Linked DNA regions of Drosophila melanogaster. Changing the gene in region 1 together with any one later gene gives a genetic interaction. Each region holds a gene or a part of one and is shown in the gene's direction. Other genes may lie near its edges.

Region 1 (7,540 bases):
TTTGAATGACAAATGGTCGAAGCCAACTTGCAATCAGCCGCCCACATAGATAACTTTGTTTTTCCAGCGAGGAAAAGTTACTAATTGCCAAATGATGTAGCCAACCGAAAGGGATACTGCTTGTGGATTATTCAATCAGGTTGCATCGCTTTGAAATGGAAATTTTCTATTTCTTGCCATCTATCCTGAATGCTCAACTTTCTCAAAGGCGATTGATGGTCCTGTCCGGAGCTTGAAATTGCATCATCTCCTTTTGCTTACTGCAGCTTACACTATTTCAATAGCATACTTTTGCGGGCAGCACCCGTGGGAGGTTTCTGGCAAGGACTCGATTTCAACGACAAGAGCACGATGTCGGCAGCTCTGACCCCACAAAGAGACTCCTGCGAGGACTTATCTTTGACACAGCTTAATTGGCATGGCTTCCCTGGGGATCGCTGGTTTCGTGGTGTTGGGCTACCACCTGGGGAAATCATTATGTCCGCAAAAATCAATCAAATTATTAAAATCATGAGAAAACTAAATATGCCAATAATGCTAATATCAAAGAATAATGTGCGTTAATGAAAACCTCCTTATTGTTATGTTTTCCAGGTGGCACTGTGCGACAATCTGGAACTGCCTTTCCGGGACGACAGTTTCGATGCGGTGTTGTCGCTGGCGGTGGTGCACCACTTTGCCACTACCGAGCGACGTGTCCAGGCACTCAGGGAATTGGCTAGGATCCTAAGGATCGGTGGTCGGGTTGTGATCACCGTGTGGGCGCTGGAACAACGACATCGACGCTTCGAGTCGCAGGATGTGCTGATACCCTGGCAGCCACCAAAGAATCGAAACTACTCCTACTCGGATGAGGAGGACGACGACAATTTCCAGCCGCCTTACCATGCCTACACCGAGGACTCTACGAATTCCAGTCGATCGGCCGGAGATGGCGATAGCTCAAGTCTTAGTTCGTCTTCGCCGGGGGAATCCTGTTACAGCTTTGTTCGCCGGGCCATTCAGGTAAACCAAAGATTCTGTCGCTCATAATTGATAATTTTGTAATTATTATTATGTTCTTAAACCATAGAAACTAGCCCGTGGACGCCGGCATGCGTGGTTCATGGACTCGTGGTCGTCAAAGGATACCAAGAACGACAGCAGCTTGGACTACGAAGATGCCAAGGATCTGCCCATCGAGCTGCGTCGCCTGGAGGACTTTGAGGATTTTCCCGATCCGCCATTATCAGCCGGCCTCAAATCACGCAGTTTGGGTAGCATTCTGCAGCCACCACCCCGCCAGATTGTCCGCTCACGCTCCAGTGTTCCCAGTCTGGGTGGTCCTCTGATTCCTGGTGAATCTAAAGCCAGTGCCGCGGCTCTGCTACTCAATAATCCGGAGAGTCAGCAGCTTCAGCTGCAACTCCAACTGAATGGAAGACATTCACCCACCACCACGGCAAGTGCTGGGAATACGTTGAGCAGAAGACCAAAGCTCATCAAGCAGAAGCAGTCCTTGTGCGATGATGACGCTGCCACTCCACCCGCCCCCGAATCCTTTCAGGTGGTAAGTAGCCTGAATGGCTCCAATGGCGTGGTAAGCAGCAGTTTGTACACAAAGAGTGGCTGCTATGCCGGGAATTTCCATCAGCATGCCTCAGCGACGGCCACGCCTCCTTCGGGTGATTCTGGTGAAGGAGGAGTAACTGGCGGACCCACTGGTGGGCCGACGTTCCTGCGCAAACAAAGTTCCCTTAACGAGGATCTGATGGCCTGCAATCGATTGAGAGAAAAGGAGAGGGTGCGCAAGCGTATTCAAAAGCAAACCTCGCTAAATGAAGCATTCCTCTGCAGATCAGCTCTGTTCTCCAAAAGATTGCAGGTAATCCGTGAGGGTTTCACCACCAAAATCAAGAGCTCGACAGGCAGCCTAGAAAGGGTGACAAAGACGGGCATAAGTAAACTGATCCAAAACATCAAGAGTGGACCGCAGGCGCAGACGAATCCTGCCCAGCATCCAGTTCAACTGGATAAAAACGCCACGCTGAATAATAACAATAAGCAGGGAGTGGCGGCGACGGCTCATCAACACCACCATCACCACCACCACCATCCTGTTCATCACCTGTCGCACTTAATTCTGCCCGCATCCTCGACTTCGGCACCTGTGACGTACTGCAGCAGTGTGGAGTGCACCATGAGCAATCTCTGTCACTGCAGCCAGTACCAGCAAGAGTGTCCCGCCTGTGCGGATGGCGGTCAGGGTGACAAGGCTAGAAGGCATTCCCGGGAATCCGGTTCCGACTCCTCCAAGGACAGCAGCCTGCAATCGGACACAAGTATTGAGTCCGAGGACAGCTTCGCTTCGGTCATATTCATACCCAAGCCGGAGCAGCACCAGCAGCAGTTGAACTACCAGCAGCAACACCAGAACTCTAACTCCAGCTCGAGCAATTCATCCTCCAGCAATGGACAAAGGGCGCAGGGAGCTGCTGGTCGGGATCAGGGGGTGAATCCCGGCTCCCGATTGCCGCCTACTCACTCAGTGCCAACGTCGCCGCTCATCATGCCCTGCCCTCCCACTCCGGCTCATTCCCCGGCTGCCATCCAGGGCACGGTGACTTCTCCGCCTCAATCCACATCGGCCGTTTCCGCTGCCATGGCCATCTTGACGCCACCCTCGAAACCCGCTCGTTTCAGCTTCGATGAGGCCCACATCAAGCTGCAAAAGGAACAGCACGTTGATCTGCAAAAGGAGCTACCCAAGGAGAAAAAGGAGCCGTTGAAGGTGCTGCCAAAGGAACCACTGAAGGAATCGCCACCTGTACGTAGAATCACCCGCCAGGCCATTAGAGATCTGCCACCCATTCCGAAATTCCGGAAACAGCAATCTCTACAGCTACAACGTCAGAGCTTTCCCATCGTTAGGCGAGCTTCGGGATCGGGCGTGTCTACTTCAGCATCCACCACATCGCTGGCTACCAAGCTGCTCTCCCTGGAGCTCTTTAATCCAGCCACCGATGATCTGGACAGCGATTCCAGTGAGCCCTCCTCCCCTGATTCCATAGACAGCGTTATAAGTGCACCAAGATCGGCCAAAGTACCCTCGGGAAGTGAGGAAGGAGAAGCCGCCTCCGCGAACTCCAATTCGGCCTCGCAGGACGAAGGAGAACCCAGCTTGGCGCAGCTCATCAGTCTGCAGCAGGAGCAGTACCATAAAGGGGAGCTTCAGATCAATAGTTCTCGCTCCCATGCCGAAGATGATATAATCCTGAATGCAGATAGTGCCCCTCTCCTCCCCGAAAAGAGGGAGGCCGTTCAAAAGCAGGACTGCGCAGAATTCGCGGAACAGCTGAGTGCCCAACTGCAGCGGGAACTGGATGACAAAACAAATCGAACTGAGTGCCGGTATCTGGATGGGATCGGAATGGGCGATCTGTCCGAGATCTTGGGTGGCGGTAAGAAGCGCTCTAATGGTGATCTGAGTGCTTTCCGGGATGAGCTCAGGGAACGTCGCTTGATGCTTGCTAACCTCTCCACGCAGCCAAGTCTGCAGCAATCCCCGGTGAGCTCATCGACCTCATCACTATCCTCCCAAACCCGCAGCTTCACCATCCAGGAAGAGGATGGTGAGGAAGAGGAGGAGGAGGAGAACGAGTCCAGCTACTCCCTGGGCGTTTATGAGCACTGCAAGATCTCCAAGTTCAACTACAAGAGGAATCGACACTATCAGCTGAATCCGGAGACAGCCTACCTGCTGCAGGACGATGGGGATAGTGATGTGCGCGAGGATGAAGACGATGTCATACCAGAGGAGGAGGAGCAGGAGGAACAGGATGAGGATGCAGAGGCAGAGGCTCTGGAGGCCCGAGGCGGTGATCAGTTGGGCGAAGGCATGTCGGACTATGGCCAGCGCAGGCGCAACATGGCTGCCCTGAAGGTCCAACCACCGACGACCCAGCAGCAGCAGCAGCAACCTCAGAAGGAGCCAAACCAGGCACCGAATCTCCAGCAGCGTCCCTCCAACGATTCCCTGGAGCACTCGAACAGCTCCACCAACTCCCTGGACAGCCCCTCCCAGGGCGGAGCCAGCACACACCACCGCTACTACCATGTGTTCCGCGAGGGCGAGCTGGACGCACTGATCAACCACCATGTGGCCAGCCTGCACATCGTTAGCTCCTACTACGAGCGGGCCAGCTGGTGTGTGGTGGCCGAGAAGGTTCAGGTGTGGACCATCTAAGCACCCAACTCTCAAACGGGGATTCGAAACGAAACTTAAGTTTATTTGCTATTACTGGGACCGAAGCATGTATACCAAATATTTAAAGGATATACGTTAAATTACTTTGAATTACATTTTTTTATACGCATCTAATACATTTTAAGTTGCTCTACAAAAACACTTGAATATCTTTTTAGGACATTCAAAATCCAAGCAGCTTTTTTGATTTTTTCAAGGCGTACCCGTTTACCCGTTTGAATCCCTGATCTAAAACAAATGCCCATTTCCTAGCTGTAGTCTCTGATCTGATGCCCCCAAAGGAATTGTTAAATTTAGTCTATTACTCTAGTCGGCTGGCGGTGCGGGGCGGGGAAGGCCCGTCCTGCTATCCAGCACTAATTTATTGTTAGCAGGCCTGCTCAAGGACGCGAACGCAGGATTGCACTGCATTGAAATCCAATTTCAAAGGAAAACTTAGCTGTAAGAACGAAACCAATCGAATCGAATGCGATAACGAAACAACGCAAGCTAAATACAAATCTTACTAGTTATACGAGCATATTCTATTTACAACGATCATCTGTTTGTATCTTGCGCTATCTGCAGACTAAGTTTCAAGCACTTTATGCTATAATTTCGAAGCGAATAATCATCAAACGTCCATTGCAGCCAACATATACCACTTATACAAGAGAAAATCAAGATACCAGTTAAGCAGCTAGAACAAAGTAATATAGCAACTATGTACGTGCATGTATACACTCCTTAAAACTGCAAAGTTAATAGAACCCTCTAAAAATATCAATAACTGCATTTAAATCTATGAGAAAACCGTACATATATCGAATGCAAAGTAAAATCAAAAATATATACACAAAACAGTTTAAGAAACTCTTTCCGCAAGCTCACAATTTTCCACATATATAAATTTTTCACCTTTTTAAAGCACTTTTTTATTTACTTTAATTGATTGGATAAAGTACCCAACTCACTTCCCAAAAACGGCCAATAAGACGATTGTAACATAAGCCTATGCCTAAACTCAAATTTTTGTCAGCTTAAGAAGGGTTATTTGAAAAATAACGCAAACATTTTCAATAAAACCAAATATATACATATATATACCTATATGCGACTGTACATGTGTTTTTTAGCTAGCTAAACTAACTTTATACCGTAAAATAATAGAACAATTGAATAAATATTAACTAACGTTGGACGCAACACTAAATTACAACAGATAGAACTCGATTTGAACCTATTACTGCTCGAAATGCTGAAACATTATAAACATTAAGTATTGCTGGAAAATATGTATAATTTGCACAGAGCCAAACAGGCACACTCAAACGGAATTAACTCAAAACCCAAGCTACAAAACCATCTGAAATATTTAATATTGATAATTTGTAATGCATTAACAACAACATTAAATAAACTAATAATACTTACTGAACTGAATCTGTTTTAAAAATCATTTATATTTCTAATTGGAACACTTAGACCATATAAAATAATAGCATCAAATGAGATAGAACGAAATGAAGGCCAAATATTTTTGGAATTTTTAAACGCTCCTGTGAGCGCGCGCATTTACTTGTGGCTTATGGTCACCCTAATGAATTCAGTACTAGTTGGTCTGATGCCATCACTATTTGAAAATAAGCGATATATCGATAGGATGTAATTGTTATCACTTATAAAAGCGTTTCGGTATTGTGAAAGAAATGGAAGGCGGTACACACACAATATAAACATCCAAATAACAGCCTGTAAGCCCTTAGAAAATTCCCATAAAAAAAGAAACAGTGCCCGTTTTGTAAAGCCAAACCATCCAAATTGTTGGAAGAGAAGGAAGTGAACGTCTCAGGAACTGAAAAAAACACCAAGGATAACGAACAAAGATGCCACTCAACCAATTGCCACTCCCCAAGCTCAACGAAAAGCTGCCCTATTTAGTTGCTGAAATGCAGTAAAAAACGCATAAACAACTGTTAAAACACCACAACAAGATGACCCAGAAGCCAGGCGAGTGGGCTAGCGCCCTTTTGGCACGTTTCGAGGATCAGGCAAGTGTTTTCCAATCGCTTTTCCGCAGTTGCGTTTTCGCAAGCGAAAAAATGTACCTGCTGCTCTGCCTCTTCCTCCCCCACACATGCTCACAGCGACCTTGCGAGTGTGCGTGCCTCACCCGCTCTGTCAGTGTGAGCTCTCAATCAAATGCGTGGGAGAGCGAGATAGCAACAATAACAAAAACACCGGTTCCCGCATGAATGAAGTGGAATTGAGCAATCAATGGTTTACTTTTTCAGCTGCCAAACAGAATCGGTGCCTATGGCACGCAGGCCAGGATGAGCCAGGACCAATTGGTGGCCTGTCTGATCCACATATCGCGCTACCGCTTCTCCCTTGTCATATCCGGTCTCACCAAGATGCTGCAGAGGGTCAATGAGGCGGTAAGTACTCCATTCTCTATTGTTAACCCTTAAACTATGTTGCCTTATTTTATGGGGCTAGGATACGATTAAATTACTTAAACAAAAATTTCATTGCAGGCCCTTCAAAATCGCCATGAGCCAGAGCGTTGCTACTTTGAGTCGCTGGTCATCATACTGACCACTCTGGAACGCTGTCTGACCAACCAGACCAAGGACACAGCACGTTTTGAAGAGGCCATGAATGTGAAGCTTCTGCTGCGCGAGATCTCCCAGTTTGTCGACGTCCAGAGCGACAGCAATCCGAATGCCGCCCAGCTCAAGGCCCTGGCATCCAAGGTGCTCTTTGCCTTGTCCCAGAATCACTTCTCGGCGGTGTTCAATCGCATATCGGCCAGGATTCAAGAGCTGACATCCTGTTCCGAGGAAAACCCGGACTACAACGACATAGAATTAATTCAACACATCGATATGGATATGATAAAGCTAACCAAGCTGCTACAAGGTAAACTAACTTTTTTAATATTTCGGAAAGGTTAAACAACGTTTTACGTTTCCAGAAACCATCACAAAGTTTCGATCGAAGCGTGCTCCACCTTTGATCTTGCTTTACTCGCTGGAGAAGGCTATTTGGAACTGGATCGAGTACCATCCACAAGAGTTCCAGGACTTGCAACGAGGAACCAATCGAGATATATCAACGTAAGAGGAATTACAAGCGTTTTTAAAGTCACATTAATTGATCCTGTTTCGTTTAGCTGCTGGGAACCCCTGATGGACTTTGTAGAGTACTTTAAAACCGAAAACAAGAAAAGCAAGACTCTTGTTTGGCCGCTTCAAATGCTCTTGCTGATATTGAATCCCTCTTGCCTTGAGGCTGTTGTTAACGAACTTCAGC
Region 2 (7,540 bases), on another chromosome or scaffold:
CTTAAAAGCAAACTTAAACAACAATCACTCAAACCCAAATCAAGCAACTTGGCGGTGCAACAAAAAAGGAATGCTTGAGTATTGCGCAACAGGCTCCAAGATGCGGATTCGGATTAAGGATTTCGTTAGCAGCTTTTGCAGTTAGCATGTAGCATGTAGCACACAGCAAATAGCAATTGCCCGATTCCAAAAGAACTGGCAAGTGCAGAGGCCTCAAAACAAAGAAAATGAAACGTTTGTTACGTTGTTTAGATTGCGACTGAGCCCAGAGAGAGCCCCTTAATCATTACATAACAAACAACACACACTCGCCAAATACACACACACACACACACACACACACACGCATATATGAGTAAGAGCACCTAACACCACACTAACCCATACACATTACACAACAAGACAAACGTTTGTTTGTTGACTGTCCAGAATTGGATACCAAAATGGAGGGGGAAGTTAGGGATCAGCTGGGTTATGCGTTTTGTGACCACATGGCAACACATGGGCGGGCGGGCATGCAACGGATCGACTGGAGCTGCAGATATTACTATACTCAGTTTATAAGTAGGCATTACTAAATAATGTACATAGATTTTATAACGAGAACGAGATGCGAAAAAAAAACAAAGAACATACTAAATAGACCCAACTAAAATACCATGCGTTCATCAGATATACAGAAAAACAGAAACACAGAAACATAGAAACTCTGGATAAGAATGGAGAAAAACCTGACAAAACTTTAGTTTTATGCTGCTATTTGCTGAGATCTGTAAATATTATATTAGGCCTTTTTAAACAACTGATAATATCTAATCGACGAGTTCATACATTTACATGCATTATACATTTTTTTTTTTTTGTTAATTTGTATTCAAACTGTAATCAGAAAATGTATTCAAAATTCCCAACCCAAAAATAACTCACACCCGCACTAAAGCCACAGAATGCCTAACAAAGAAAGAAACCATTTAAAAGCAGAGACAGAGTGACGTTACGAATTCTTCATAATTATATATGCGTGTGTGCCATTGTTAGACAACAAACCAACATTAAACATAACCAACATAACAAGCAAAACAACAAACACAATAATTAACAAAAAAAAAAGAAAAAAAAACAGAAATGGCTACTTTTTCCCCAAAACAAACCCATTGTAAATAAAATCCATTTCGACAGACAAAGAAATGCAAAAACAAATGAGAAACAATGATTGTTGCTACCAAAACTAGCCTATTGAAAAGAAGGAGTGAAAACCTCAAAATGCCTTTCTTTCAAACTTCTTTTGTATATGGAAGAGGAAACTTCTTGAAGCGACAAGAAGAAGCAAGCAAGCGAATTGTTGCAAACTTATCGCTTAAGCTACCAATTCTGGGTGTCTAGCCTAGCAGCAATATTAGCTAGAATTGTTCTAAGTGTAGCACAGCCACAACAGCATCAACAACACATCGATAACACAATATAACACACAAACACACACTAATAAATCAACAAAGAAATTAATCATATTTATTTTGTTGAGATTGAAAATAGAGTTTTATTTCACTGTATCATTCATTGTATTTTACATTGACATTTTACATTGATCGGCAGCAACGGAATTACTATATAAACATTTATAAATCGTTTCAAAAAAAGATTTCAGGCTCAATCACAATTCAGCTTAATAAGTCGTCGTCATCGTTCTCATGTCGTCATCGTCATAATTAAATTACTTAGATAATATAATGTACAAGTGATGATCCACACAATATCCATCTATTTGGTCAACATGAAAGACTTTGGAGGTGTTTTTTCTTCTTCAACGGTAGTCTACAAATATTCTAGTTAACGCTATCATTATACCGTTATTATTATTATTATTATAACTATTATTATTATTACCTCTTTTTTTGCTGTTTGTTTTTAGATCCTTCTTGATAATTAAAGCAAATTCATTCTAATTGTTATCCTAAACTAAAACAACTTTTGGAGGGGCTGCCCTCCACACACTGTAGTGCAAATTCGTTTAATGGTTCCTCGTTTTAATAATGTCGTTTAATGCCTTTGGAAATTCGAACTACATTTTAGTCTATGGAACACTAAATACATATTATTGGTTACTTTTAAATGAAGCATTCAACTAGATGAAGGGAGTAGGATTTCAATTTTTGCATGCACCAGAGTTGTCAACGTTCTCGGTGTTCTATCGAATTCATTGTAGATTTGTCACTTGTACAATTGTTGATAAACTGATTAACTGATAACTGATTAACTGACATAGAGATAATGCAAACACGACAGACATGATGTAGAGCACATATTGAAACTAATCTTAGTCGATAGCGAGAAGAGAAGAAGAGACGTGAAGTGAAGAGTCCTCCCTCAAAGATCATCGTAAGTGTGTGGTACTTCTATTTTTTTTTCTTATCTAGTAATGCTGAGAGACGAGAGTTACGAATAAGATTTAATTTATAGACGCATTCAAGTGAGAATAATTTACAAATCTAGTTATTAACTAAATATAATGCAAGTACATTAAAATAAAATATTATTGAAAAGTAAAAAAAACGGTGTTTCATCTGGATCGTTGTGGGGGGGGGGGGGTGGTTCGTTATCCCAGGAAGTGATATCGCCACTTTTATGGATCCGCCCGGCTAAACGTGCCAACTAATTTTATAATTCATGTACTTACCCGTGTCAGGGTAAGGTTCTTATCCGAAAAGCTGAATTGACGTGATGGCCGCGATAAGGAAGTTGCTAGCTTCATATTGTTTGCGATCCCCCCAATAATGTCCAATATCCGATTCCCATGATTCCCTCCATGCAATCGATCAAAGAAAGCCTTGATTGCCGCACTAATGTACTATTCGATGATCGTCTGGTTGGCTCGTTGGCTGCACGACGATCTCTTGGATATAAAACGATTGCGATATCGAACTTGCAGCTGGAGGTGGAGAACTCTGCGTCAGAGTTGGTGGCCAGAGATTTGCTTGTGAAACTGTGAAACTGGTCAGAAGCGGTCTTTGGATCGTAAAACTTTCATTGACCATTGAGTGGAATTCTTCCGAATCTATATGTACCAGCCAGCCTAATTACCCCAGCGATTATCGACTCCTAATTGGTTTTGTCTACGGTTCTGTTTTCGTTTCCTTTTCAATTGATTGGTCACTTCGTGGTGGTTTCACCTAATCAGTGTGGAAAATGTCCAGTCACGGCCGGTTCGGATAAGTTCATAAAGTGCTTTTACTGTGTCTGGGTCTGGCGGGTCCGTCTATCTGAAGTTATTTACTACTGCTGACCATTTTGGCCTGCCGGTTTTTATCGAAGTACCAAGTGTTTCACTCACCGCGTCGTACAGTGGACCCCGCCTATGTTGGCCGCAATGATCGATTTGGGTTGATAAGATCCTGGCATCCCCATATATAGTTATATCTATGTTCCCCTATCGCCGTATCTGCTCTCTATGTTCTATCAACGATCTTCGTGAGTTAATCAGCAAAAAAGAGCTCACGTTCGGGATTTCCTTACCTACACGCAGAGAAAAAGATCACTTCATAAATTTATCCAGCGGCAGCTCATCAAGTAACGTGGAATTCCCAGCTTATCGCATTGGGTAATTTGAATGGAGCGCTGGTAGATAATTCACAAATGGAAAACATTTACCCAATGACTTATTTACTCGTTTTATAACATCTTGCAGCATTTTCTCTTCGAGTGCAGACTATATTTTTGGGTAAACGCCGTGCTGATGTCTTCAGCTTCTCGGCGGATACTTCCTTATCCGAGCGCTGGAATCTCCGATATCATCAACGATCGCCCAACGAAGAGCAACCGAAGTTTGTTTTCCCCATTCCTAATCGAGCACTGGGGGGCTGGGGATTGGGGATTGGGTACTGCGTACTGGGTACTGGGTACTGGGTACTAGGTACTGGGCACTTAGGTACCAGCCAGTCAGGTACTACCGCTGATTTTCTCTACAAAGCACGGCTATACGGCTATATGTGTGTGAATAATTTCACGCTTATTACCTGCTGAGCGCTGGCAAAACGCTGCTTGACTTTGGCGGTTCTTAAAGCGGCCGGCACTCGCAATATTCTCAGTTCCAGCCGCGGCATTCACGGCACCACAAGCGCGCCTCCAGCACCGCCAAGTAGCCAAAATCCACAGCCCAAATTACGAAAATATTACAGAAAACTAAACCCTGAAACTGCAGTTGGACGCTAACCCAACCAACCGTAACCAAGGGCTGGCCAAATGCAATGTGCTAATTACTATTAACAAAAAAAAAAAAAATAAATAATTAGTAATTAAATAAGCAAAACGCGAGTAGCCGTCAACTGTTTTCATTAACCGGGAAAATTAACAAGTGGCTAGAAAAATGGAATTGAAAGGAGTTCAGCCATCGAATGGCAGCTCAAATGGAAGTGGAAATGGAGCCACCAATGCTGCATCAACGGAAGTAAGTGTTAGACCATGAAATCAGGCAATTAATAGTATCCCTAATGGAATTGCTTTCGAGTGGCACTTGAAGAACTCAAGTGGCCAGCGATTCAGATTAGAAGAAGGCAGTGTTCAACAGTTGGAACATTAAGTATACGCCGTGTGGTGCATGAAAGTTTCACAATGTACACTGTGAAGAAACATTTCCCATGCAATAAACTTTATAAAACTTCAATGGACTTTTACCCCGAAATTATGCTTTGATTGGCCCTTCTTCACAACCGTCCTTGCAATTCGCTCAGTGTTTCTGGCTTTACAATCGCCAAATGACTTTATGATCATTAAGGCTGTTAGACCTTAATTGCAGGCCAATCGACCGACAAACGAATATGCGATTTACGGTCCACCCCAATGTGGGGTGAAAGACTTTGTCAGCCGGTTACTCCATGCATATCTTATACGCTTTACGATACCCAGCGACACATAAATGTATCTTAGAGCTATTTTCAGCCGAAGAATGAACCGAAAACGTTAGTTATCTGGCCATAACTTAGCGTACGGCTCGAGATCAGCGAAAGCTATACTATAATAGGCTATAGTGTACTATACCGTACTATACCGTACTATACTGTACTATACTCGCTATATGGCCGAAGAGCTGGAAACCAGTTTTCACTGCAGCAGCCATAAACATATGACGAAGCTATAATATATATAGGCGAGTGCTCGGTGGAGTGACAGGTTCACTTTGCAGCCCTCTATTATATATTACAGCATTTCCGAGAAAGTATTGTAAAAAAAAAAAGTTACAAAGATACGAAGATATATAGAATTGGTTCTTGCGGGTGATTAAAAACTTTAGTTTCTATAAATATATACATATATATGAATATATATCTATAATATGGTTATAGGTAATTCCCCTTAGAACTCAGCCTGTTTGCATGCAAAATGCAGATGCTGCACAGATCGTTAAGATTTATACTTATAGTTGATTTAAATTACAGGGTTATCCCCCCGCACAGAGTGACATTGACAGACCAAAACAAAGCCTCATTAAAGTGCGGTCAGCATAGGTTTTATTGATGGCAAATGCAATTAAGGCGATTCCCAAGATAGAATTTTTCCCAGCACGCAGAAAAAAAAACCCCACAATTATGCGAGTTTGTTTGAGGTTCAACAGCCAGCTGGTAGATATTTATGTATAGATATAGATACTATATATATAAATTTCTTAATGGAAAGGTAATGAGAGCCTTTGGCTTTGCAGATAAAATGGGATAAGCAAACACACATGGGTTTCGGCTATTTCATAGATACCGTACTGGCGGATACATATCTATGTATCTATGATGATGCAGTTTCTTTGCCATTTAACTTCGTTCGTAATTGCCCGCCCACTCGGCCAGCTGAGTTATTGTTTTATTTAAACAGCTTTTTCCCCGAATGAGCAAATATGTAAGCGGCAAAACAGTTACCGCGTTGTCAGCCCTCTGATAAAAAACAAAAAAAAAAATACAAAAACAATTGTGGCTGTCGTGCAAATAGATGGAAATAGATTTCGCCAAATGGCAATCATATTATTACAAATAATAATAGTAATTTTCGAACGCAGTAGTGTAATGTAAATTAATTTTTGGGAATTTTAACAACAACTACATCATCTGTTCATTTGCCCAACTGTTTCTGCCCTTTTAATTGAAATTAGAAGAAAAACCAAAAACATCTTAACATTTTATGGCGTTTCTATTCTTGAAAATAAGTGCCTTTTTTTTATTTGCCCACGTTACAATTATCAACGACAGATGTTTTCACGAACGAAAGTAATTTGTGTTGAAATTTTTCAATTTAGGCATTGAAATTGTGACTCAGTCATCAACTAGAATTAATTATATAATTAACATACTAATTTATTTAAACAATTTTATAGCTTGATTTGAAGATAAGACATGCATGCATTCCCTGAATGTAAATCGTTATGAATGAGAATCCATTCCAGTCCATTAGGCATTTTGCCGGGGAACTTTTCCAAGTTGTGCAGCAGTTAAGTTTTGCTTTTCCCTTAATCGAGTATTAATTGAATTTAGCTGAGGTAATCACGGGAAAAAGCCGCAATGACTATATTAAATCAATTTAAAAACGCATTGAAAGATATTCAATTTGCTATCGATATGATTCATTCTCGATCGGTGAATAGTTTGCATTGCACATGAATAGTACTTGAATTACTTACTTACTTAATGGCGGGATCGATAAGCTGGGCGCCTTTCTTAAGTGTGTACTTCAAAGTGATTCTAATCTAATCGTAATTGGGCGCACTAAGATAAATATTCCAAATTATGGTTGTGGCGCATTAGTTTCACATGTCCATTGTAGTTATCTGCAATTGGATTTGGAAATGCCGCACGCATGACGCGATCGTGTTTGCCCATGAGTCCCAGACTCGTGGCTTGGATGGATGCACAAATATTTGGACATGTGTCTGGTATTTTGCTGTTGGCATTAAATCTTATATTCCCCGAATTGCGATATCACGCATATTTGCTCATCAAGATTGGAAATTCCGCTCCATTGCAGAAAACAGATGCCGAGAAGCCGACGGCGGAGCGCACCAATTGGGGCAATGGCCTGGAGTTTCTAATGTCCTGCATATCGGTGTCCGTGGGATTGGGCAACGTCTGGAGGTTCCCGTTCACGGCCTATGAGAATGGAGGAGGCGCCTTCCTTATACCCTACATCATAGTGCTCTTTCTGATCGGTGCGATGCATGGCATCGTCCATCACTGGTTATACTAAACTTTTGGTTTTCCAGGCAAACCCATGTACTATTTGGAGATGATCATGGGCCAGTTCACGAGCCAGGGAACGGTGAAGATTTGGTCGGTGGTGCCGGGATTTGTGGGCGTGGGCTATGGCCAGGCCTTCGGCACCATCTGCATCATCTCGTACTATTCCTCGCTGTTGGCGCTGACCCTCTACTATCTCTTTGTGTCCTTCCAATCGGAATTGCCGTGGTCCTACTGTCGCGATGAGTGGACCAATTGCGTGAACTCGAGGCCGCAGGAGTATGTGGACAATCTGCTTACGGGCGTATCCTTGGCCAATGAATCGGCCAGAA

What was found. A genetic interaction does not mean that the proteins touch.
Region 2: of Nf1 (region 1) and NAAT1, changing one suppresses a phenotype caused by changing the other (phenotypic suppression), as found in Drosophila melanogaster (one study listed by BioGRID).

Annotation. Positions count from the first base shown.
Region 1 is NT_033777.3:25,977,073-25,984,612, forward strand, and holds the start of Nf1 (neurofibromin 1), read left to right. Parts: upstream 1-5,940; 5' UTR 5,941-6,219; coding exon 6,220-6,276; intron 6,277-6,519; coding exon 6,520-6,663; intron 6,664-6,762; coding exon 6,763-7,147; intron 7,148-7,202; coding exon 7,203-7,344; intron 7,345-7,400; coding exon 7,401-7,540. Other genes in the region: fid (fire dancer), read left to right, coding at 595-1,005, 1,073-4,225.
Region 2 is NC_004354.4:5,407,387-5,414,926, reverse strand, and holds the start of NAAT1 (nutrient amino acid transporter 1), read left to right. Parts: upstream 1-4,077; 5' UTR 4,078-4,360; coding exon 4,361-4,441; intron 4,442-6,999; coding exon 7,000-7,180; intron 7,181-7,234; coding exon 7,235-7,540. UniProt on the Drosophila melanogaster protein: Unusual broad substrate spectrum amino acid:sodium cotransporter that promotes absorption of the D isomers of essential amino acids. Neutral amino acids are the preferred substrates, especially methionine and phenylalanine.